3 linked regions of the Mytilus edulis genome follow. The protein of the gene in region 3 purifies or fractionates together with the protein of the main gene of each other region. This does not show direct contact. Links are inferred from orthologs where the notes say so. Each region holds a gene or a part of one and is shown on either strand. Other genes may lie near its edges.

Region 1 (7,039 bases), about 12 Mb from region 3:
AGCTAAAAAACAGATGTGCTAACATTAAAGATAAGAGAGAAAATGTCCATATATAGCTTTCCCAATGGCGTCATGGTGTTCTTTGACTGTTAATGCATGGAGTCTTTTCGATTAGGGCTGAATGAAAAGGAGTAGGTCCAGTAAGACCCCTTTTTGGCCCCAAAATATAGCAGTTTTACAAAATTATTAAAATGTAACTTTTAGTTATTTATTGGACAGAAGAATGCTTCTGCTACATAAATATGGACTGTTTTTGACAATACAATGCACATATATCGGGTAGTAACACCAGTAAGTCATGCTAAATTACTGAAACCTCCACAATTCTAGCATTTTAGTTAAATTTTAGACGGTTTCCGTGTAAAACGAAAGTGGCCGCATTCGTGTTCATCCTTAATATTGAAATGTAAGTTGTATTTGATGATAATACATAACATATATAAAGGTTGTGGATGAACACGGATGCGGCCACTTTTGTTTTTGACAAAAACCATCTGAAAAGTGACATTTTTCGGCATATTTGGAAGATTTTTCATATTTGAGCTTGAATCAGATCGTTTTTAATGACTAAATCAGTTAAAATCTTTCACATACACTAATTGAATCAAACGAAATAGACACTTAAGTGTTTAAAAAGTGGTCAAAATCTTTCGCCAGATAAACCTGAAATTTGAGGCCAATATCGGTCCTTACCAGACCTACTCCTTTAGTCTTTGAAACTATTGGCTGTGAATAATAGCTTTCGATAACTGCAAATAATATAAAATCGGTACTTTGTTTCTTGTTTTTGATAGTATTGGAGTTTGGAGAAAAATATATGCTTCGTTGACCGTTAAAAACCAATGCATTATATGTTACCGGTGCAAAAATTTATCTCGAAACTAAAAAAAAATGAAATATACATCTTGAACAAATAATAAAATTGAACCACCGATTTGTGAAAAATGTTATTTTATTATCACACGCGTGTCTTTTGCTGTAAAATATTACCTCTTGTTGTCGCTGAAGTTCTTTGTAAATATATGTATGTGTTCTCAGCAGTTTGCTCATTTCATCGACCTTGACATAGTATTCACTGGTTTTTATTTGATCAAATCTGAAAAATGTATAGAATTCCACTGTTACGATTTATTAGCTGCTTGTCTGTAAAGCTTTAAGTAAGTGTATTAACACAAGTATATTGACACCATTACTTTATATTTCGGAGACACGCAAGCCTTCATCACTTTACGTTTTGAATACATAAAAGCTACCAATATGGTGTACTGTATAGTTTGGATATACGCTAGTCTTTTGCCAGCAGGCCGATCGTTGATAAAAAGTTATCGAGTTTGTTTTGACTTTAAGGAAAGAGCATTTTACAAATCGATGCTTTTCGTGTTAAGGAATCGCTTTTTGACATGAAAATGTACAGCAAAACAAAATACACAATCTATTTTAAAATCAAACAACTTACGTTGGAATTGGAAGAATGCTGTCAGATGATGAAACCAGTTTGACGATTTTGTTCTGGATTCTTTCAGTAAATGACTTCTTATAACTCTCGCAAGTTGTTTCGTGTGCTCCAACAACACCCAACACCATTCCAGTCAGTAGATTAAACAACTTGTTTATTTCAGGAAATTCTGGGTGAAAAAAAGAAAATAATCTACGTCACTCTCAAGTGAATGTGCTAGCAAATTTAATATCTAAAATATAATTGCAAGTTATGTTTAACCGTTTCTTGTGGCTTTCTGATTTTTTCATATCAAATCATAACAAAAAACTTATCATTTAAGATCGTAGAACAATAAAGAAACAACGAACACTGCAGAACGGTGTTATGTACTCTATTGGGTTCACAGGCGTTGAAGTTCATGTCTAAGAAAGATTCTCCAAGTTTTGTAATACATGTATGTTATTTATGTCGAAATATATATTATTCGCCTATCTTCATATAGTCTTTTTTTTAACAACATAATAATATTTATTCATCTAATCTTGCTTGTTACAAATTTCACCAAGAGTCCAAGCTTCTCTTGATTTGCCCTGTTAAAGGATGTATAGTTGTCTTATGCAGAGATTTATCAATGCTAAAAATTCTTTCTAATTAACAATAACATTGGACATCTTGACTTATATGCATCTATTCTTTTATTAAATTCATTTTCAAAAATACTAAAGACATCAACAGTTTTTGTTCTCTGCTCGGATACATAGTATGACTTATAAATAGAAAAACTTAATACTGTTAGTATATAATTCAAAAATAATATTTACTTTCTGTAATTTTATATCCAAATACCAGATGTCGCAATTTAATATCAAAATCTATTTTACTTCTTTTAAAGAGTTCATAGATTTTTTGCCAAAATTTATTCAAATATCTACACCTCAGAAAATAGTGAGCATAATCTTCTTCTTGCTTACAAAAATTACACTTATCTGTCTTAGTTACTTTCCACTGCAATAACAGTTTTTTAGTTGGAACAATATAATGTAATAATTTCCATCTAAATATTTTTAATTTATTTTCAGTCATATATTCAAAAATAAATTTGTGCAATGTATTCATATTAAGAGTTTCTTGTATTGGTAGGATTCTAAGCCATCTGTTTATCCCTATTGACGACTCTAGTTTTATACTTATCAAAGAGTTATATAACATTTTATTTGTTAATGATGTAGTCTGGATTAAATTATTTTTCCATATGATTTTATTTCTCTGAATATTAACTGTAGTTTTGACAGAATTCTCTTTTTGGACAACTTGAATCCATTCTGCTGGTATAGATTTTTTTAATTTTAATCTTCATATAGTCTTACCCATATTTTGTCTGTATGCCATCAGTTTCTTCGTGATGCTGTGTATTTGTTGATCGGGGAAATCTGCAGTTTCCGAATTTAAGTTAACCTCAAGGGTTTCGCTAATTGTAGCGAATACGTCAATTCTGGAGGAAAAAAAACAATTCTTGACATCAGTTAATCTAATGAAGTTCAACTTACTTGCTGTATGCGTAAATGTGTCCTAATCTAAATATCAGTACAACACTATTAAATCTGCAAATTTACTAAAGCAAATGTTTGTTCTATCTTCGTCGGGAACACATGCTACTGGGATATTGTGACAACACCGTCTGCATTGTAGCTAGCACTCTAGACTATTCGGCCACCTAGACTGAATTAAGAGTTTAGCTTTCGGTGGCCTAGTGTTACCTATTCATTTCATTATAATCTAGAGTTGTTACACAGTACATGATATTTTATGCATTTAGATGAATTTGTTGCTTATTATTTAAAACGTGAACTATATCTTAAAGGATCGTAGTTGTAGTCACAGAAATAAGTATTTTGATATGGAACTTTAAAAAGGGATTTAGCGTTGATAGAGTGACAACGCAATTAAGTTATACATAATTGTGAAACATTTTCAATAAAATATAACTCACGTTCTGTGTGCAACAGAAGTAATTCTGTAAATATCTGGAAAAAAGACACAATCCATTCTCATTTCTTCGATTCCTTTTGAAAAGACTGCTTCTCCGAAATTTCTTGCTTGACTTTCCTTCGTAGTGAGGGAAAGATAGCCCGTATGATGGAAAGGGTAACGTCATAAACAGGACGTCTTCTTGTTGGACGTTGGAACAAAGGAAGAACGTCACAGATAAAGCGAATTTTGGTTGGTTGGTGGACAATAATATAAAATGCTGTGACTCTTTATAGCGGAATTTACGTAATTATATTTTGGAATTTTGTTGGTTTTTTTTTTCTTCTAAACATATTCAAATTTATGATTTTTTTTTTGCCATTGAATTTAATTTATAGTTGAACAACATGTTGCGTTTTCAGTATACGGATATGGATAGTAAACTGCACATTGCCAGACTTGAAACAAAGAAATAGTGATGGCAACGTTAATAAAGTAATGCAAATAGACAGGAAATAATAAAAAGTAAATTAAAAACATTGATTTACAAAATTTTAATCTGCTAACCGAGACCCTGTGGTCTGAGTTGCCATTATAGACAGTCCGGTATGACTATATAGAAGGTCCAAAAAGTTTTGGTCCGAGTTTACCATGCAAACACACATATAGTTTTACACGTTTCTCTCCCCCGTACCCTTTTTACTCTACATTCTCAACTCGTCATGGCAAGCCCAAACAAACCCAAGGTATTTTATCAATATTGAATAAGGACATATACAAACCATTGTTTTTCTATGTCTCTGGTAACAACAGTAGTTTTAATTAATGCATCGTCCTATCTGATTTGTTAGTTTTCATCATCCAGGTTCATAATCGCTTATTTTTTACATATAAATTTTGAGTGAATTATTTTCATTTGCATTTCAATTCACAGACGAGTGATGTTGTATTGTAACGTGCACGTTAGTTTTGTAAACAAAGCACTCTGCAATATAATATATCCCCTTTGAAGTTATAGGCTAGCAACTTTCAATGCCATGATGCCTGTCAGTGCCATGCTTCTGGTGAATTTTATTCTTGAAATAAATATTTTCTGTCCCAATTTTTATGGATAAACATATGATGAATTTTTGTCTTGTCATTAAATATAATGTTAAACCATAGTAGGTAAAAGTTTAATAAATCTAACTTTTTTTTGAAAATCATGGATGATTCCAGCGGGATTTGACCCCTATATCTTGAGATCTAAAGGCAGCACTCTAACCAATTGAGCCAAAGAAGATCTTCCCTAACTCAACTAGTTAGAATACCACTATATCTCCAGGTCTACAACACTCTTCCCACTTTTCTTTTTTCGGGCTGCGTACCATCCATCCATCCGACCAACTACTGTACAACCTCAAGACTTCTACTTGGAAATCCTCTGGCCAGTTCCCTAGATGCCACCTAGAATTGCCATGGTTATCCTATGACCGGCTGGTCAAACCTCATGACCAATTCTAACATCTCACTGCCAGGCCATATTCTATATACAATTTTTGTACCAGTAGCAGATGCTCCTAGCGCCTGTTGTGAAAATCCATGGATGGCACCAGTGGGATTCGACCCCTCTATCTCAGGATCTAAAGTCAGCGCTCTAACCAATTGATTGAGCCAAAGAAGGTCTTCCTTAACTAAACTAGCAGACTATCTTAATATCTCCAGGTCTACAACATAACGTAACAATGATAACATGAACCAGGGGTCTCCATGGCCTGTTTAACGATGGCGCCCCGCCATCGTTCAAATGTCTTGCGCCATTGTCAAATGACTCGCGCCATCGTTAAATTGTTTTGCGCTATCGTTCAAAACTTCATCGTTTTTTTGTAGCCCGACGCCATTTTTTTATCAATTATAATCAAATGCATGTAATTGCATTACCCTTAGGCTTTTTATGTTATAATCCAATACAGTTCTAACGCCTGAGGGATATCCGGATTAAGATCGCTAATCACTTTGTACCTGAGCTTGTACAGGTAGATCAACAAACCAGACAGGAGAATACTATCTGAGGATAGACGATCCATTTGTCGAATTAATCAACTAAGTTTCAGCAAATGATTATGATAATTTAGATTAAATAAATAAATTAATAATCCAGTTACAAAGAAAACAGTTTAACAAGTCGAACACGTGCTTTATTATGACTTACGCAATCAGCATCCCCCTTTTTAAGAAGTACAAAATAAGATGCAAAACAGTAAATATTATTTCATCGCAAATAACTCTAGTACTGCTGTAACGATAATTTAGAATTACTTTAAAAGTTTAAAAGTAAAAACTTAAATATTTCCTGTAAAGAAATATCGTATCGTAATTCCGAATTCATTTCGTATATTACAATCAAATTGATACATCTGCGTTTCCAGTTTCATTTCAGACTCGAAAGATGCATGTTGCACAGCATCAATTTGCCAGATAAAGTCATTAAAAACCTTTTCATTTGTAAACGTTTGCTTTACAAATCTCTTTAACGTTTTACATAATCGTTTTGTTGTTGCTGCAAATCAGCCATACCGGTAATGGGTTCTGAATTTGACTGTCCATGAAAAATAAGCTCCACATCATATGATTTTTAACCCCCATAACAATTACCAAAAATACAAGAATTCTACATGGGGCCCTTCATGACAGCTTTTGGTCATTCTCAACTTAAGGGGACCATGACGACTTGGCATTTGAATGGTTAAAAACGGCAATAAATGAAAATATTGATAATGTACTTCTAATTCTATAATGAAAATTCAAATAAATATAATTTAAATAAGCAATGAATTAGCATGTTCACCATTCCTTGTATGGAGGGATAAAATATTTCCGATCGCGCTACACTGTACAGCAGAGACACGGTTTGTTATGGTTAAAGTTCCTCCATCGTTCAATTTTCATCCATGGAGATCCCTGATGAACAATATATAACACAAGGTTACTATAGACACACATGTTATTGTTACATTCATAATAGTCCAAATCCTGTAATTGACCCTGTAATAAGAGATCACTTCTTTAGTTGTCTCCCTTATGAGGGACATTCTTTTTTTTTTACAATAGAGAGCTAACAGAAAGAGCAAATTTACCTGTGTGTAATGTGAGTAATCTTTTAGGTTTTCAAATCTTTTAAATACATTAATTTGTTGTTACATGTATATGTCGTGTACAAGTTGCGATTTTGTACAGGTTATAACGTGTACGAAAATATTGTACATGTTATAACTTGTATAATGCAAAAATACAAGTTATAACATGTACAAAAATACCTCGTACATGTTATAACCTGTACAAAATATTGCTTAAAAATGGTTTTAACTTGTACAAATTTGAAAACTAAAAATATGCTTCTATTATTGCAACAGATGTTATTAATCTCAATATGTGCAAATGTTTGCACCTGTCCTAAGTCAGGAATCTGATGTACAGTAGTTGTCGTTTGTTTATGTAATTTATACGGGTTTTTTGTTTCTCGTTTTTTTTTTATATAGATTAGACCGTTGGTTTGGCTGTTTAAATGGTTTTACACTAGTAATTTTGGGGCCCTTTATAACTTGTTGTTTGGTGTGAGCCAAGGCTCTGTGTTGAAGGTCGTACATTGACCTA
Region 2 (7,813 bases), on a different chromosome or scaffold from region 3:
CTCATTTGTGACGAGGATGAAAATCCCCAAAAACGTATTACAAAGCGATATTAAGTTATATTTTAATGGATTACATAGTAGCACACTTAAATGTTCTCCTTATAAAAACAAATATTATAGTTCCATAACACTAGTAAATGTTAGTACTACTGTACTTGTTTGTGTGTCAAATAGTGGGCAAAATTGTCACATTTATGTTTAAGGCAAGACCTTACTGAATTGAATCCCTCGAGAAAATGTGTGTTCTTCCTCATATGTCAATCAAGAATTTTCAAATGGAAGTCTTCTCATCCAATATTATGATAATGTTTAAAACTTGAAATAAAAATATAAAACAAATACAATACAAAAAAAACAAACAATATACGTACTGAAATCCTGTGCTACAGACTTTCTACTTTCAATGAGGCAAAGAAGGACCATGCATAAACCTACAAATGTAATCATATTCGACATGAATCTTTTAGTCCTACACTAGAATGTATATATTTTTAAAAGGAAGTTATAAAAACACTAATGAAAACATGACAATCAGTTAAGTCATGGGTCGATAACACTTAGATACATTTTTATGAGGTATAATAATCAAATACGATATGATAGAGTAATAAATATAATCATATCTATAAGATCGGCTAAACTTAAATATGTATACAAACTTTCAAAGAATGGGAGAATGTGATATTTGTCGAGCTTTAAAAGCAGGAAGAAATGTGAGGCTTGTCGAGCTTTAAAAGCAGGAAAAATGTAAGGCTTGTCCAGCGTCAAAAAAAGAAGAAAAGTGAGGATTGCCTAGCTTGAAACGCAGGAAGAAAATTGAGGCTTGTCAAGCTTTAAAACAAGGATGTATTGTGAGGTTTATGGTGGCACGGTAGTATTTGCATTCCAGAATTTAGGTTGCTCTTTTGTGTACCCGGCAACAGAGTCGACGCGGGGCCACTAAGCTAATCTGCCCGCTTTGCACCAGCCGTACTTTGAAAAAAAGCCTAGGGTGGGAATCGAACCCACGTACGCCAACTCCGTTGTCCTCCTTCCGTGTGTCTCTTAATGCATAAGAAATACAACCAATCAACAACAAAAAAAAGTCTCCGGCCTACTTAGGTAAATGTATCTAAACAGTGTGATTGGACAAATACAGTATCAACTGAACATACTTTCCCAAACTGAGGGATGAATCAGGTGTAGAAAAATATGAAATAATTTTACATACAGATGAAAATGAATTTTTGAGAATTTTTTTTAATTTTGTATTCACTGCACCATAAAATACCTAAAAGTACTAGTGGCCTTAGGTTTTTTAAAATAGCAAAAAAAGTAAACGGTCATGATACATTTTCAAATTCATTTCTGAATAGTAAAATGAAAGTACTTCAGTTAACTGTGAATGTAGAATTTTTTGCAGTGTTAGAAAGTGGTGAAAATTCTAAAAAGGCTATCATTATCCCTTATGGGCCAGGAAATACTACCGTGCCACCTTATCGAGCTTTAAAAGCAGGCAAAAATGTGAGGATTGTCGAGCTTTCGTTAAAATCTATTACGTTGTCACATACCGTGATGAGCGAATCGAACATATTGAGAAATATTAACACTATAAAATGGTGACAACGGAACGTCATCTTCTAAAAATGGATATTTCATCTCTTTTATCATAATCTTTGGTTTTATAAGATTCCCGTTAATGTTAATTTATAGAAATCAAGATCCAGGAAAGGGCAGTGCTCATTGGTACTACCGTAGTATTCGATTTATTTAAAGTTAGTCAATAGGATTAATATCTTTAGTGTATACATGTATACTGAAGTCGTCATTATTGAGAGCCAATATTATTTGTGTTTTTAATTATGTTTATTGTATTGTTTATTATATTTGTAAAATTCTTCTTCTTCTTTTTCTTCTTGTATCATAAATTATGTTGTTTTGTAGGGTCTTTGCTGATTTGAATCCATGAATTCTAACTCATAACAATACAGAAACACGTACGCAATAAGTGGTGCACAATAAGTCCCCATTGCAATGTCGATAACTTGACGAGATACAGAATCTCCATATTTATGTAATTGTTAATGTACAATTGTTATCCTCTTGTAGCACCATACGTGTGCCTAAGTTGAAATAAATTGTCTTGTCTTGCCTTGTCTTGTCTAAAGCGAACACAAATTTTATCTAGTAAAAATTCAAGGGCAGTTATAGTATCAAAGCCTGTCCAAATCGCATAGTCCTTTTGTTTATTGTTACTAAATTTTTATTTAATGTGTTTACTTAGAAATGTGTTTAGATATAAACACGATTATTTTTTTCAGGGAAGTCATATAGATGATCTCTGGAAAATAAAACTTACTTTAAGTAAAGAAAAAGAAAAACGATTTCTAGTTCACAACTTAAAACTTATGATCTTACATTCCACATTTTTACCTATCAAATGCAGATCTCGATAAATTGCAACATGCAACTAAAAATACATTAAATATATAGATTGTCAAGATATAAAAGTTAGGCATGCTGTTTGCGCATGTTGCGGTGGTGTCAGCGGCTTCAACTTGTTTTTCTTTTTTAATTTGTGATAAAGTAAGTTTTCTTTTTAAATGAAGACCAATAGCGATAAGCAAAGTGATATATTATTATAGTATGTTTTTGTATCAGCATTGGCATATTTTTATGGATATATTAAAGTTTCGCCCCCTGAACGATAGTTCATTGACTGCAAAAGTTTTGCATCGCATACCGCTGTAATACCACCAAATCATAGTACATCCGGTTGCATTCGAAAAAGGGTAGAAAAACATATTCCCTTGAATTTGACAGTTGAAGGTAATTCAACCTATATTTCATTGCAGTAAATAGTAAATGTCTGGGTCATCAACATATATTTTTGGTATTTCAAAGCACCATTATTTTTTTTATTGAGGTTTCTATAGAATATTTTGGAAAAGATTACGGTAATTTTTATTGGTTAAAACCATATAGGCAGGCATACGGCCTTCAACAATGAGCCCTTTTTACTTGGATGTCTTTCGACAATATTAATCAATATATGATGTTTGAACCGAATTAAAATTGCTATTTTGTTAATAAAAAAAATATTTTTAACTTTTGTCTTTAAACAGCTACTATAGGCCGTATGATTGCCTATAATTTCTTAAATTCACTTTATTTGCATTTTGATGGATAATTGTCTCATTTGGCAATCAGACTGCATCTCCTTATCTTCATATTGGACACGTTAAGCTGGTTCATAGCTATTGTCAGAGCATATATATGCCACAAAAGTGTAACCTACACTAATCTATAGCTAATCAGTAGACCAGTTGGTACTGTATTACCTAATTTTAAAAAGACCATATGGACATCAACTAGTCTAACGTTGGAGTATTGAAGAAAACAATTCACATTCATTGTTTCATGAATGTTATGTGCAAATGGGAACTTTTTATACGATATACTAAAAGGCATGGACATGCTGTTTTCATTGACACTGGTAATTTCATTTATACTTTAGTTTATGATATAAACACTATAAAGATGATTTTTAGATCATTTACCAACTGAAATAAATAAAGAGTTTCTACAAGTTTTAGCTTATATCTGGGAACAGCGGTATATCTGTTCCTGCTAATACGGATCTACTATAATAATTTATTACAATAAGAACAGTTACATTTAGTAGTGACATCTTAAGTGTATCTGTTATTCGAATCCGGGTCTGTTCGCGCCCATTCACGTTCGCACCCACTCATGTTCGCCCCCTTTCACTTTCGCACCCTACATGTTCGCACCCAAAGTCCGTTCGCACCCTACATGTTCGCGCCCAATTTTAATTGGTTTTGAGTTTAATAACTTTGTAATCATGTTTTGGCAAGTAGTATTCTTATAAGTATAATTGTTTTCGTTGTCTCAAAATAAAGTGAGACAGCATTTTTTTTTGGTGTTGAATAAATCTTAATCATGTTTTGGATAGTGTATGGTTAAAAAATAAAAAATATTCTTTTCTAAATAAAGTGGGATTCTGTCAACGTTTTATTTTGTGTTGAATAACTCTTAATCATTTTTTGGTTAGCGTATTAATTGCTATAACTTTGTTTCATTAACTTGTTTCAAAATGAAGTGAGATTCTGACTACGTTTTTTTTTTTTGTGTGTTGAATAAATTTTATCATGTTTTGGTTATAATAGTGTATTGTTATATTTTATTGTTTCATTGTTTCAGATCAAAGGGACCAAGCTGTTAAAAACAATTATCTTTTGTGTTTTTCATTTAAAATGATCTAAAATATTCAAATTTTTACTCAAAATGATCTAAAATATTCAAATTTTTACTCATACCAAGCTATAAATACATTCAGTATTTACACGAAAGCAATTAAAAACAATAATCATGATTTTCCAATTATTCAACTGGTATTTGAATTAAAATTGGGCGCGAACGTGTAGAGTGCGAACGGACCTTGGGTGCGAACGTGCGATGTGCGAACGTGTAGGGTGCGAAAGTATATTGGGCGCGAACGGACCTGATACCCTGTTATTCTAACCTTTTAAGGGATCATATGGCGTGGTTTGGGGGATGATCCCACGGTGTTTTTTTTTTTAATTCGTTACAACAAGGATTTGTATATTACTATACACTGAAATCCTTGGTTACAAGTGTTGAACTATTTTAACCATTTCGTTGCAGTGCGTTGTTGTAATGAATTGTTTAGGGTAGTAAGACTTACTTTCTATGGTTCGAGATCTTTCGAATATTGCAGTTAGTCATGCGTTTGTAATACACTTTATATTGATAACAAAACCATGCGTTCTTTACACATTGATCAAATAACAGAATGGCAGCAAAAGCAGGAATGCCCGTTGACATGGAGCTTAAAAAGGTTTTTAAAGAACTCTTTTAGTTATTCTAGATTGCTGTCACATAGTTTAAGAATAGATGTTTTTTCTTTTCAAAACTTTAAGATTATAGACAGAGCTGTTTTCGGTTATGTATCCAGGTGTAATGATAAGTCGTTATACTAAGGCTATTTTTTTCTTATTTTTTCTGTAGACTTAGCTTTATTTTTTTATAACCATGCATTGGCAAGCTTGATAACTCGTAATTGTTTGTCAGTAAATAAATGTACAATGATGTCCCATACGGAACCTTCTGACCTTGTTTGTTTACATTAAAATTTCAATAGCGTCAAAATCACGTGATGTCAATTCGTTATATCCAATCAAATTGCTCTACTGTCAATTAGCGGATTTTTCAGTCTACGGCAAATTACGTTATTTCTTTCTGGGATATTGCTTCAAAATAGTTTGCAATAGTTCTGGGTTTTATTCAACAGGAAAACTCTTTTTTTTGCCATCTCTTTTGACATCAAGGGAATTTTGTATGAATATTTACCTACAGTCATGATGGTCAGAATATCTATCTTTTGATAATGAATAAAAAGAAAATTCTATGAAAAATAAATGTAAATTGTTTCTTATTAACCAACTCTATATGCCTGTTCAAAATTATGGCATTGACATCGTTTTTTCATATAGTTTTCCTTTCATTTTGGTTGGGCTTTTTTCGCGGGAAAATCGAGAAAGAGGTAAGGAGCATGTCATTTTTAAAATCCTAAAAATACGATTTGCTTGACCTGTATTGCCTGCCACAGGATTGATGACGCTGAATGGAATGTACACAAAGCAATGGAGGCCGGAAATGGGATTTTGTGAAGTTCTAGAATGTTTTTAAATATTCGGAAGTTGGGATTGAAACGGGCATTAGAAAATTGGCATTTTTTGGCAATAATTGAAAACAACAATGAAAACTTACCTTTAAAAATGTTTTTTTATTCAAAAGTGCAGAAAAAAACGTATTTTGCACTGTTTTTCTACGCCAGAAGTACCGTAGTGACATCATTGCGGAGTTTCCCTGTGTGTTAAGTTCAAACACAAATACCTAACGAACTGACAAGATGAACGATTTTAGACTACGGTAGGATAATCTTCACATAGTTTAAGGTTCATCATAACAAACGAACAAATATGGCTGTATTTACATGCCAAAAATTACTCTGAGTACAGACTTACCTGTGAAGTTGGAAAAGTTTGCCTGGCATCCACTAGATATAAAAAAAGTTAAATGCATTTTGTGTTTCAGAAAGATAAAATCTCTTGGATTTTGATGGGCATTTTTTTTCCTTCATGCAAAAGGTGTGAAAATCAACTAAGTTGTGGTATAACTATGAGATGCTTCCTCAGGTAAAATAACCGGTTTGTATTGTTTTGATTGTCATTAATTGACATGGACAAGAGGTATCCAGAGGCGGATTTAGGGGGGGGGGGGGGGCAGGGGGCACAGGCCCCTACTTTTGAGAAAAAAATTTGGTTGATTATATAGGGAATCACTGAAGCGTGACGGGAGCGGGCCCCCTCTTAGGCAGCCAGCGGGCCCCCACTTATGAAAATTTCTAGATCCGCCACTGGTATCTTCATAACTTTAGGTGAGTTAAAGAGTTTATCTGAGTCAGTGAGTGGACAGTATCAAAGTAAGGCCAAAATAATTTAATAGTGTGTGTCCGGTTTCCCGACCCTACCTCCGTTTTTGATGCTGACCCTAAACTTTTTATTGACAAAAACAATTTTTTTTATTAAAAATCCGGATTATTCGGTCTGTCTGGATCCTACTTTTCATTTAGAAAACTACAGATCTTCAAAATGTTTGATAGCTTGGACCAATATGGACAAGTAAAGCGTTTCAAGAACCAAGATTTTAAATAAACAAGCATGGCTTTTCCGTAAACCGTGCTGCGTATTAGCTGTCAAATATGCGAAATGTGATCACATGGTTACAAAATATAATGATATTAATTCCGGATAATTACGATATGATGAATCTTTTTGAAGAACACCATGATGGACCTATAGACGAAAAAAATACGAAGTTGGCGCATTTTGCTCAACTTCTTTGCACAGGTACAAGACGACCAACAGTCAGAATCGTTTCAGGATGGACAGACTGTATCTAATTCTACCGGTTATTAAATTGACAAATAATTTATTAAAGAGTAAAATGAGATCAATTTACTGCTAAAGTCAATCCAGCTTTTGTTGTAAAAAATTGTTCTCAGGACGCAACATAAACGGATGTTAATACTTTTGAGCATTTGACTGTTTGAGTTAATGACGGCAAGGGGGCAGACAATGTGTAACGAAAAATAGAAAGCTTTCCCCAGTAGGCAGACATGGTGTATGATTCATGTTCTGACATTTATAAATGAATCTGCCCCGGCACCATGTCTACTTTTATTCTTTAATATTTCTCTGGCTGGTCCCACAACAGTTTATACTAGAGAAGGAAAAAAAATCATGTCCTATTAATCTACAATTTTTTCCATAGATTTAATAAGGCAAATATTTCGCATTCTCACTCTTCTCAAAATTTTGAATTTTAATATTGTCAGAACCCCACTCTGCAAGATTAAATTCTGTTAAACATCAAAACACATCTATATAGAGAGGTTGCAAGGGTATTACCCCTCGAAAAATCATTAAACCGCTGCTTAGCATCAATTTGCAGTGTTTTTACAACTTTAAAAGAGGGGTAGGAATCTGTTCCCACGTGTATACCCTGTGTGTCATTTACATTGTTAGCTTCAACGAGGCCAAACATACACAGCTCGGGTGGATTTTGCTTTTTCCACCGGCCCACGTGGACAGCCCACCCGTGCCCACTCCAGCTATAATCTCATTTTTAGTAAAAATATTGATTACAAATGCTTATCTGCTTTTTTTCAATTGATTGAACTTGCAGGTCTTTTGATTCAACAAAAGAAATTACATGCCCACTTCTA
Region 3 (8,085 bases):
ATTACAAACTTAAATTTAAATCTGTTATACTGAAATATTGTACATTACAAACTTAAATTTAAATCTGTTATACTGAAATATTGTACATTACAAACTTAAATTTAGATCTGTTATACTGAAATATTGTACAATACAAACTTAAATTTAAATCTGTTATACTGAAATATTGTACATTACAAACTTAAATTGAAATCTGTTATACTGAAATATTGTACATTACAAACTTAATTTTAGATCTGATATACTGAAATATTGTACATTACAAACTTAACTTTAGATCTGATATACTGAAATATTGTACATTACAAACTTAAATTTAAATCTGTTATACCGAAATATTGTACATTACAAACTTAAATTTAGATCTGTTATACTGAAATATTGTACATTACAAACTTAAATTTAAATCTGTTATACTGAAATATTGTACATTACAAACTTAAATTTAGATGCAAAATATTCAGCAAAAATATGACAGCAGAGTCCAGTGAGTATCATTTCATTCCAAAATTTAATCGTTTTTTGATGAGAAAAAATAATGAAAAAAAGCATTGAAGTTGTTAAAGATATTTGTGCCGTTTAGAACTAGTTAATACATTTAATATTAAAAATCTTACTCTGTCAGTTTAGAACACAGCAGGATATATCTTCAATTATGTAATAATGTTCTTGTATTTCAATAAATTTAAAATCAGGTTTATTTTGATACTGAAGTTTATATATATTTCTGTCTATTTTTTAATCTTGTCTACTTCAGCTTCCTGTGTGACTGTGATCAGTGTTATATACATCTTTGTTCACCATTATTATACACCAAATATTTTACCTTAGTGGCCTATCTGTACTTGGCCATGATTCATCAAAATGTGAAGAACCAGATTCATCCTGGTTAGCTTTCGGTGTGAATGAGTTACCTCCCTTTAAAAAAAGTTCATCGTTATAACTTAGTCTTTCGTCTTCATTCCGTTTTCTGGTACTTGATCTAATTGGACTGATAGATGTCTAAAAGTAAAAATACAACACAAATTATATTACTTTGTATTAAACCAGTATCAACAATAACATATATATATGAGCTTTCATTTCAATTGGAACTTTTTCATATATAATAACAACCTGTACTTATAAATGTTAAACATGAAATTAAAAAAGGTAAAGGTTGCTGCAAAACTAAACCTTTTTTTCATTCTTCTGCAGCTGCATATATAATTTATATCTTTTCTAAAAAAATAACCATCCTTAAATGATATTTTTTGTAAACAACAGAATAAAGATACATTATAGTTCAAGTCAAGATTATTATTTTAAACTCTAAATTAATCCCACATATTTTGTTTGCCAAAATCCTTTGATTACTACTCCTTACAAGTTACATAAGAACACTATATCCTAATCAAAATGTATTATCTCAAAATGTTTATGTAAACAACTGAATATAAATTCATGCATCACTAAAAATATATAATTTCAATTCCTAGAAAAATAAGTGCTAATCATCAAATTGCATATTTTTCTTACTTATCATTAAGAGTATGAAAATGAGTTTTGTCTGTTCTTAATCAGGAATTTGGTCAACTTATGTCTAAACGCCGCAAAGGGCTATATCCTGCCTTAAGTGTCTGTTGTCATGGGAGACATTTCTTTCTGTAGACTAGCATCTGAAAATGCAGCTCAGTATGCCAGTCTTGTGCAAAGGTTTCATATTCAAATTATAATCATAAACATGTTCTGGTCCTGATATTCATGTAATATTTGCAACTGGATGTTAAAAACAACATGTATGTTCATCCATCCATCAATCGTGTTATATCTTTAATACATGTATGTCACTTTGTGATAAGGGTAGTGTGTAGTTGGTGGGAGATTTTTGCTTGTCTCTGTTTTATTCACATTTAGTTTTAGTCATGCAATCATATATCTTAGCCTGTTACAGACACATGACACATGCAACTTAATGAACCATGAGTTAACCTCAAATGGTTCACATTGTATTTTGTTTTTTATGTGTTGTTGGTTCATTGCCTTATTTCCAAATATGATATCCCAAAGTATTCATTCTTTAAGTGTTTATTACCCCTTTATATTACAAGTAAATACAAATATGATACACACTCATGCATCACTTACATGTAGTTGTACAAATACATGTAATAGAATTTATAAATTGTAAAAAGGTATACTAAATAAATATATATAATAATATACTGATCTACATGTAACAGACAATACTAAAGTTATGGAAAATTACACAATAGGACAAAAACTCTGAACTTAAATCCATTGCCCTGATTTAGGTCTTTCCCTGTAAAATATATAAAACCTAAATCACTTATAACATTACATATAAATGCTCTCTAACAAATGCAAATATTGATAAATTATTTACATAATATTATTAGAAAATCTTAAGTGCTTAATCATAAACATACTTATACATGTTATATGGAGGCAGACAAAAATCTCCAATCTTATACCCACTTATCTTCTGTTTAGGAAAAATTTATTCCATCTAATTATCATTTTTCCAAATTTATTGTAGTATTCTTTAATCTTATGTTTCAGTCTGCACGGTTCCACTAGTCATATGCCCCAGACTACGAAAATTTTGTTCGGACTAGTAAGTTTTTGCAAAACTTTGTTTGGCTCAATAAGAAAAATGTCAGAATATTGGTCTTCAGACCCCAGTAGTTGAAGTTTTTGGTGCAGACTGAAATTTTCATTAATCATTTTGGTCACACTTTTTGTTCATTAGACTTTTCTTCCTTTAAATATTAAAACTGAATACAAGTACATGATTATTCCTACCTTTTTCTGTTTTTCTGAGAGATTTTTCTTTTCTGATGGATGGTAATGTGCTTTAGGAGGTGGATCTACATAGAAAGGATCTCTGTATAATAAAAAAAATATAAAAGAACGGTAAGTACACTATCATTGATTAATGCATACTTCCTATTACAATTAATAACTGGCATGACTGGACTAAAATACCCCTATTTGTACAAGGTGTTACACCCACTCTTTATGTAGTATGGTTTAACAATAAAACAAATCTAGACCTGCCAATGGTAACTAATGCCCCTATAATATACTTTGTGAGTAAGAGTTAGCTATGAAGGCGAATCAAAATGTCCAAATTGACAAGAGTTGTCGTTTTTGTAGATGGTCTTCATTACTCCTATAATCATGATAATTAGCAAAATACATGTAGAACATAACGTCACAGTTCCCAAATAATGGCAAATACACCTTATCACTATTTTTAAGTCTTTTCTGATTCAGCCCTCAAAGTAGCCTTTGAAATGTAGTTGCCAAATGGTCACCAGACATGAAAATTTAGTGGCAAATGCAAAATTTCAGTGATAAGGCAATAATTTCAGAATGCTTGCATTTTTCTCTATCTAAACAACCAGGCTTGTGAAATAAGAGTATTAACATGATTAAGTTTCTGTTCAGTGATTTTTGCGTTCTAGTGTAGAAAATAGTTTATATAAATCAACTGTACATTAACTACATGATTTATTTAATTTTATATTCGTTGTACATGTTTTAAAACAGTCTGCAAGGTTAACCGGTAGTCTGAAGCTCCAGTCTAGTAAAAATCTCACTGGACTTGTGCAGTTTCTAAGCACTATTGATTTCCCCATTGGTCGGGGACATTGTTTCAATCCATTTACCATGTTTACTGACGAAATCGAGACACTGCTCTACCATGTGCTTTAATTTCAATAAACACAATCTAAAAATGCCAATGGTTTTCTTTTAAATGGCATGCAATTGTCAAAGTTGTAACTGAGTGTGGAAATATGAAGATAGATCATTAGATAGATCTGAGCCATTTTCAGTCAACGAAAATGATCTACAATTACCTGATGCAATAAAGCGCTGACAATGTCCAGCATAATTCTAAAAGGCACTTGAAATATTGTATTCATTTGTGTTACATGTCAAGCACTCAGACGGTTTTTAAAACTCAGCTCCGATCAAGGCAAAATTTCAGAAAATTTACCATTTGACAGATTTTCAATATTCTAAAAGCTTTAATACACCTTTATATCGCTAATCCTGGCTGACCCGGGGGCTTGAACTTTTGACGTCATACACAATCACTTTTCTATTGTGGCGTCAGACATTTCGTTCATGGTGTCAAAACTTTATGGGGAGTTGGGGACCTGAGTGATATCCTGTAATGGCTGACAAATAGCGATTAGGTGTATGGCGACAAGTTATGAATTTTTGGTCGCCAATCAGCTTTTAAAAAGTCACCCAGGCGACCACTTCAGTAGACTAAATTGAGGGCTGCCATTGACCATGTTGACCCCAGGATCTGACCCACTTGTACTTTTGTTGTCATACAACAATCACTTTTCCATTGTGGCGTCAGATATTTTCTATTATTTTTATGGGAACTTTTTTGATGTCCAGTGATTATGGTGGACAATTAGCATTAAGGTGTATTGCATTCATATTACAAAGATGGTAGAATAAATTCCTTAAAAAAAAAAATGAAAAACGTGACTTGTCAGGATACTTAAATCATTAACATTTATTTTTGACATTTTGAGAATCTTTAATATTTTCTCTGAAACTAAAAGTGACACACAAGACAAGTTTCAACAAGATTATAAAATGAAATATTTTAAAAACAGTAGTGTTGTGCTTGTGATGAGAGATGCTTTTAAAAGTTATTCAATGCAAAATGGTATGCCTAAACCTTTTTGGAGTTGGCCTCGGCTGAGAAATCATGACAAGTCGATTTCTAGTTTGAACATCTCTCTACTTCGCCGCCATCTGTAAACAAAGTGAGGATTTATAAAAATTCCAAATCTTATTGTAAAACGAACAATATGTTTTTGTAATTCTTTTCGCCAGTTCTTCATAGGTGTGATTAAAATTCTAAAATAATATTGAACCTGGCTTTTCAATACAAATTAATTAAAAAATACCAAATTCAATTCCAAATATTGGTTTATGTGTTCACTTTTCGTTTTCTTAGACGACGAGCATTAAAATGGCTGCGAAAGGAAAAGGCAAAACACAGGAGCAAATAGTTGCTGGTTTTCAGGAATTAAGACAACAACAAAGAGCTGTTGCTGGCAAAATATCAGAGCTTAATGGAGATTTAAAGGAACACGAGTTAGTTCTCCATAATTATTTCTATATAACTTGTATTTTAACCACGTGTTTAGATGAAAAGGGGGAGACAACTTTTTTTTAGAACTGCATGGAGATGATGTTTACACTTGGTAGTAACTGTCATCACAAAATCTTGTGTTATCAAGTTACTGATATCAAATGAAAACTAAGTTTCTTGTCCAAAGATCTAATAAAATCGATAACTCAAATAATCACAGCTCTCCTTTCGGTCATTGTTCCCCAGGTAACAGGTCTGTTCGGAAGCAAGTTAACTCGTACCATGTTAACTCGTACCAAAAAAGTGAACTCGTACCACTGGGAAGTCGTACCACTGCAAACTCGTACCATCAAAAATATATTAAAAATTACGAATATTTTATGGTATTTTTTTGTAAACTTTATAAAAATAATGTTGAATTACTTGAATTTTATACTGGATTTTAATAGACAAAAATACGAATAAAAAAGCTTTATTTTTTAAGCCCCAGCTTTAAGCTGATCTTTCAAAGTAGTTATAATCCAGAAGAAAGTAAAAGTAAAACATTGCTTTAACTGTACCTTAAGTTGAATATCTATATCCAAATTATCCAAATTAAATCAATTTATGCTGTAATCCATGATCACAAATCGAATGCTATGTTTACGATTGTTGAAAGCCATGTGCTTTTTGGCGGGAAAATTCGGGAACAGGAAACAGTTACATTTCATTGTAACTTGTTATTTATAAATAGTAAGAATTTCATTTTTGAAATCATTTTGATTAACTGCTAGGATTTTTTCATGAAGAATTAATTTGGAAGGATTAAAAAGTAAATTCAATAATTATCAGTAAAAGTTTTGAAAAAGAGTCAAAGGCGACAGCAAAGCAAATCTGCCACGGTATTTTCTATCTAATAGACAGGGACATGATTAGCTACAAATTAGTCATTGTACTTTCAAATTATATACATTTTACAGACCTCCTGAGAGGTATTGAGTGAAAGTAAATAATATACATCATCAAAACCCATTTAAATGCATTTAAGTTGTTACGAGTTAGCAGTGGTACGAGTTTGCATTGGTACGAGATTTTTTAAAGTGGTACGAGTTGACGTTGGTACGAGTTTACAATGGTACGGGATAACTGTAATTCGTCTGTTCGCCCTAATAACATGTTTGCTCTGCGTACGTACTATACAATCACAGTGACATGCGCCAGAATATACAATCATTGTAAATAGTGAACACCTGTTGAAAACACAAGATAGTCATTAATTTATTTTAATCTTTAATTAGTATGCATAAACATGATAAATATCATTAATAAAATTAACGGTACCAATTTTCTTGCACCAGATGCGCATTTCGACAATACATGTCTCTTCAGTGATGTTCTTGGCCAAAATATTTGAAATCCAAAGCTTATATAAAAGATGAAGAGCTATAATCCAAAAGGTCCAAAAATTATAGCTAAATCTGTGAAAGAAATCAGAGCTTTGCATGAGGGAGATACATTCCTTAATTGATAATAATTTCTATCATTTTGTAACAGCAAATTTTAATAACACAAAAAATCAGTATTTTCATGCCAGTACCGAAGTACTGGCTACTGGGCTGGTGATGCCCTCGAGGACTAATAGTCCACCAGCAGAGGTGAGGCAATACACTAAATAAAATATATTGTACAAAGAGAGTTTTAAAAAAACAAATTATAAGATAAATATATTATTGTTCTAAAACACAAGGAAAAGTAATCTCATAATACAACAGGGTAAACGTAATACTGGCTGTTATACATAATAAATGGTAAAATATGTAACATATTTTGTTCAAATACTTAAAATTATGCGAGTAGACAACTAACTCGAATGATTCAGCGCCCTCTATCGGTCAGTGTCCTTTCAATGTAGCGATCGATAGTGAGTCGGAATATAATGACTGGTTTATTCGGTTTAGGAGAAAAAATTAGAAAAAAATGAAAATCAGGGTGAATGGACCCTGGGCGAACAGGTATCATGGCGAATGTGAATCAGGGGGAACAGACCCTAATTCGTTCTCCACTGGCACTGCAGAGAAGAGAGTGAAATAATGACTTGATTATTTGGGTCACCTACAAATGTACATTTAAAGTAGTTAATACTTATAAGGGACTCACTAATTAGCGACAAGCAAACCTGCCAACATTTCAAAATGCCCATCAGGGTTTTACGTGCAAGAAGGAGGTCATAGTCCTACAAAAACTTTAAAGGCCTAAGGGTGGTCTGATATCTTGGTCTGCTTATTGTTTAGTGAGAATCCAGTATCCCGCTTCTCATTGCCATAATATCGCATGTAATTTCCCATGTCCTGTCAGACTATTTCCTGTTTTTATACTTGATTATTTAACTTGCATTTATCACGCTTGAAAAAATCAGCCAATCCTGTGTCATGCTTAGACCCGAATGAGACTCACTTAAAGGGGCCTTCAAATTTATTTTAATGTTGTTAATTTGCTCCTTTATGCTTTTTAAATGCTATACCAATGGTAAAAATGATTGTTTTGTGTGAAATTGTGGAGAAATTGCTATTTCAAAATTTCCAATTCAAAGCCTCCATGGGGGAAATCCCCTGCAAATAGTGACAGTTGGCAGGTGAATATATTCTGTGATTGAAGCACATTCTTCAAGTAATATATGTATGTTTAATACAATAATACAACAAAAATTTGATTAGAATTTATTCAATAAAATATTTAAATATTTATTAATATTTTTTTTTCAGAATAGTTATAGATACATTAAAAGAAACAGAATCTAGTAGAAAATGTTTTAGGATGGTAGGAGGTGTGTTAGTAGAACATACAGTAGAAGGTGTATTACCTGCATTAACTAATCATAAAGAACAGGTGAGTGTATACATATACATGTAGTGGGTACATTAAACTTTCTGTAAATCAGATACTTAACATGTATACATGTATCAGCAAAATACAGA

The links.
Region 1: the proteins of prefoldin subunit 2-like (region 3) and prefoldin subunit 4-like purify together in Homo sapiens (affinity purification with mass spectrometry; 6 studies listed by BioGRID and IntAct, counting the BioPlex papers as one, with this or other methods). This does not show direct contact. The link is inferred for Mytilus edulis from reciprocal best matches to the Homo sapiens genes PFDN2 and PFDN4.
Region 2: the proteins of prefoldin subunit 2-like (region 3) and prefoldin subunit 1-like purify together in Homo sapiens (affinity purification with mass spectrometry; 5 studies listed by BioGRID and IntAct, counting the BioPlex papers as one, with this or other methods). This does not show direct contact. The link is inferred for Mytilus edulis from reciprocal best matches to the Homo sapiens genes PFDN2 and PFDN1.

The regions. Positions count from the first base shown.
Region 1 is NC_092348.1:53,645,660-53,652,698, forward strand, and holds the start of prefoldin subunit 4-like, read left to right. Parts: upstream 1-4,031; 5' UTR 4,032-4,128; coding exon 4,129-4,152; intron 4,153-7,039. Other genes in the region: uncharacterized protein, read right to left, coding at 991-1,096, 1,457-1,625, 2,806-2,930, 3,429-3,490. UniProt on the Homo sapiens protein: Binds specifically to cytosolic chaperonin (c-CPN) and transfers target proteins to it. Binds to nascent polypeptide chain and promotes folding in an environment in which there are many competing pathways for nonnative proteins.
Region 2 is NC_092352.1:51,877,508-51,885,320, forward strand, and holds the start of prefoldin subunit 1-like, read left to right. Parts: upstream 1-4,745; 5' UTR 4,746-4,816; coding exon 4,817-4,861; intron 4,862-7,813. Other genes in the region: uncharacterized protein, read right to left, coding at 372-456. UniProt on the Homo sapiens protein: Binds specifically to cytosolic chaperonin (c-CPN) and transfers target proteins to it. Binds to nascent polypeptide chain and promotes folding in an environment in which there are many competing pathways for nonnative proteins.
Region 3 is NC_092348.1:41,978,579-41,986,663, reverse strand, and holds the start of prefoldin subunit 2-like, read left to right. Parts: upstream 1-4,974; 5' UTR 4,975-5,008; coding exon 5,009-5,133; intron 5,134-7,872; coding exon 7,873-7,996; intron 7,997-8,085. Other genes in the region: cylicin-1-like, read right to left, coding at 827-1,002, 2,806-2,887, 4,712-4,743. UniProt on the Homo sapiens protein: Binds specifically to cytosolic chaperonin (c-CPN) and transfers target proteins to it. Binds to nascent polypeptide chain and promotes folding in an environment in which there are many competing pathways for nonnative proteins.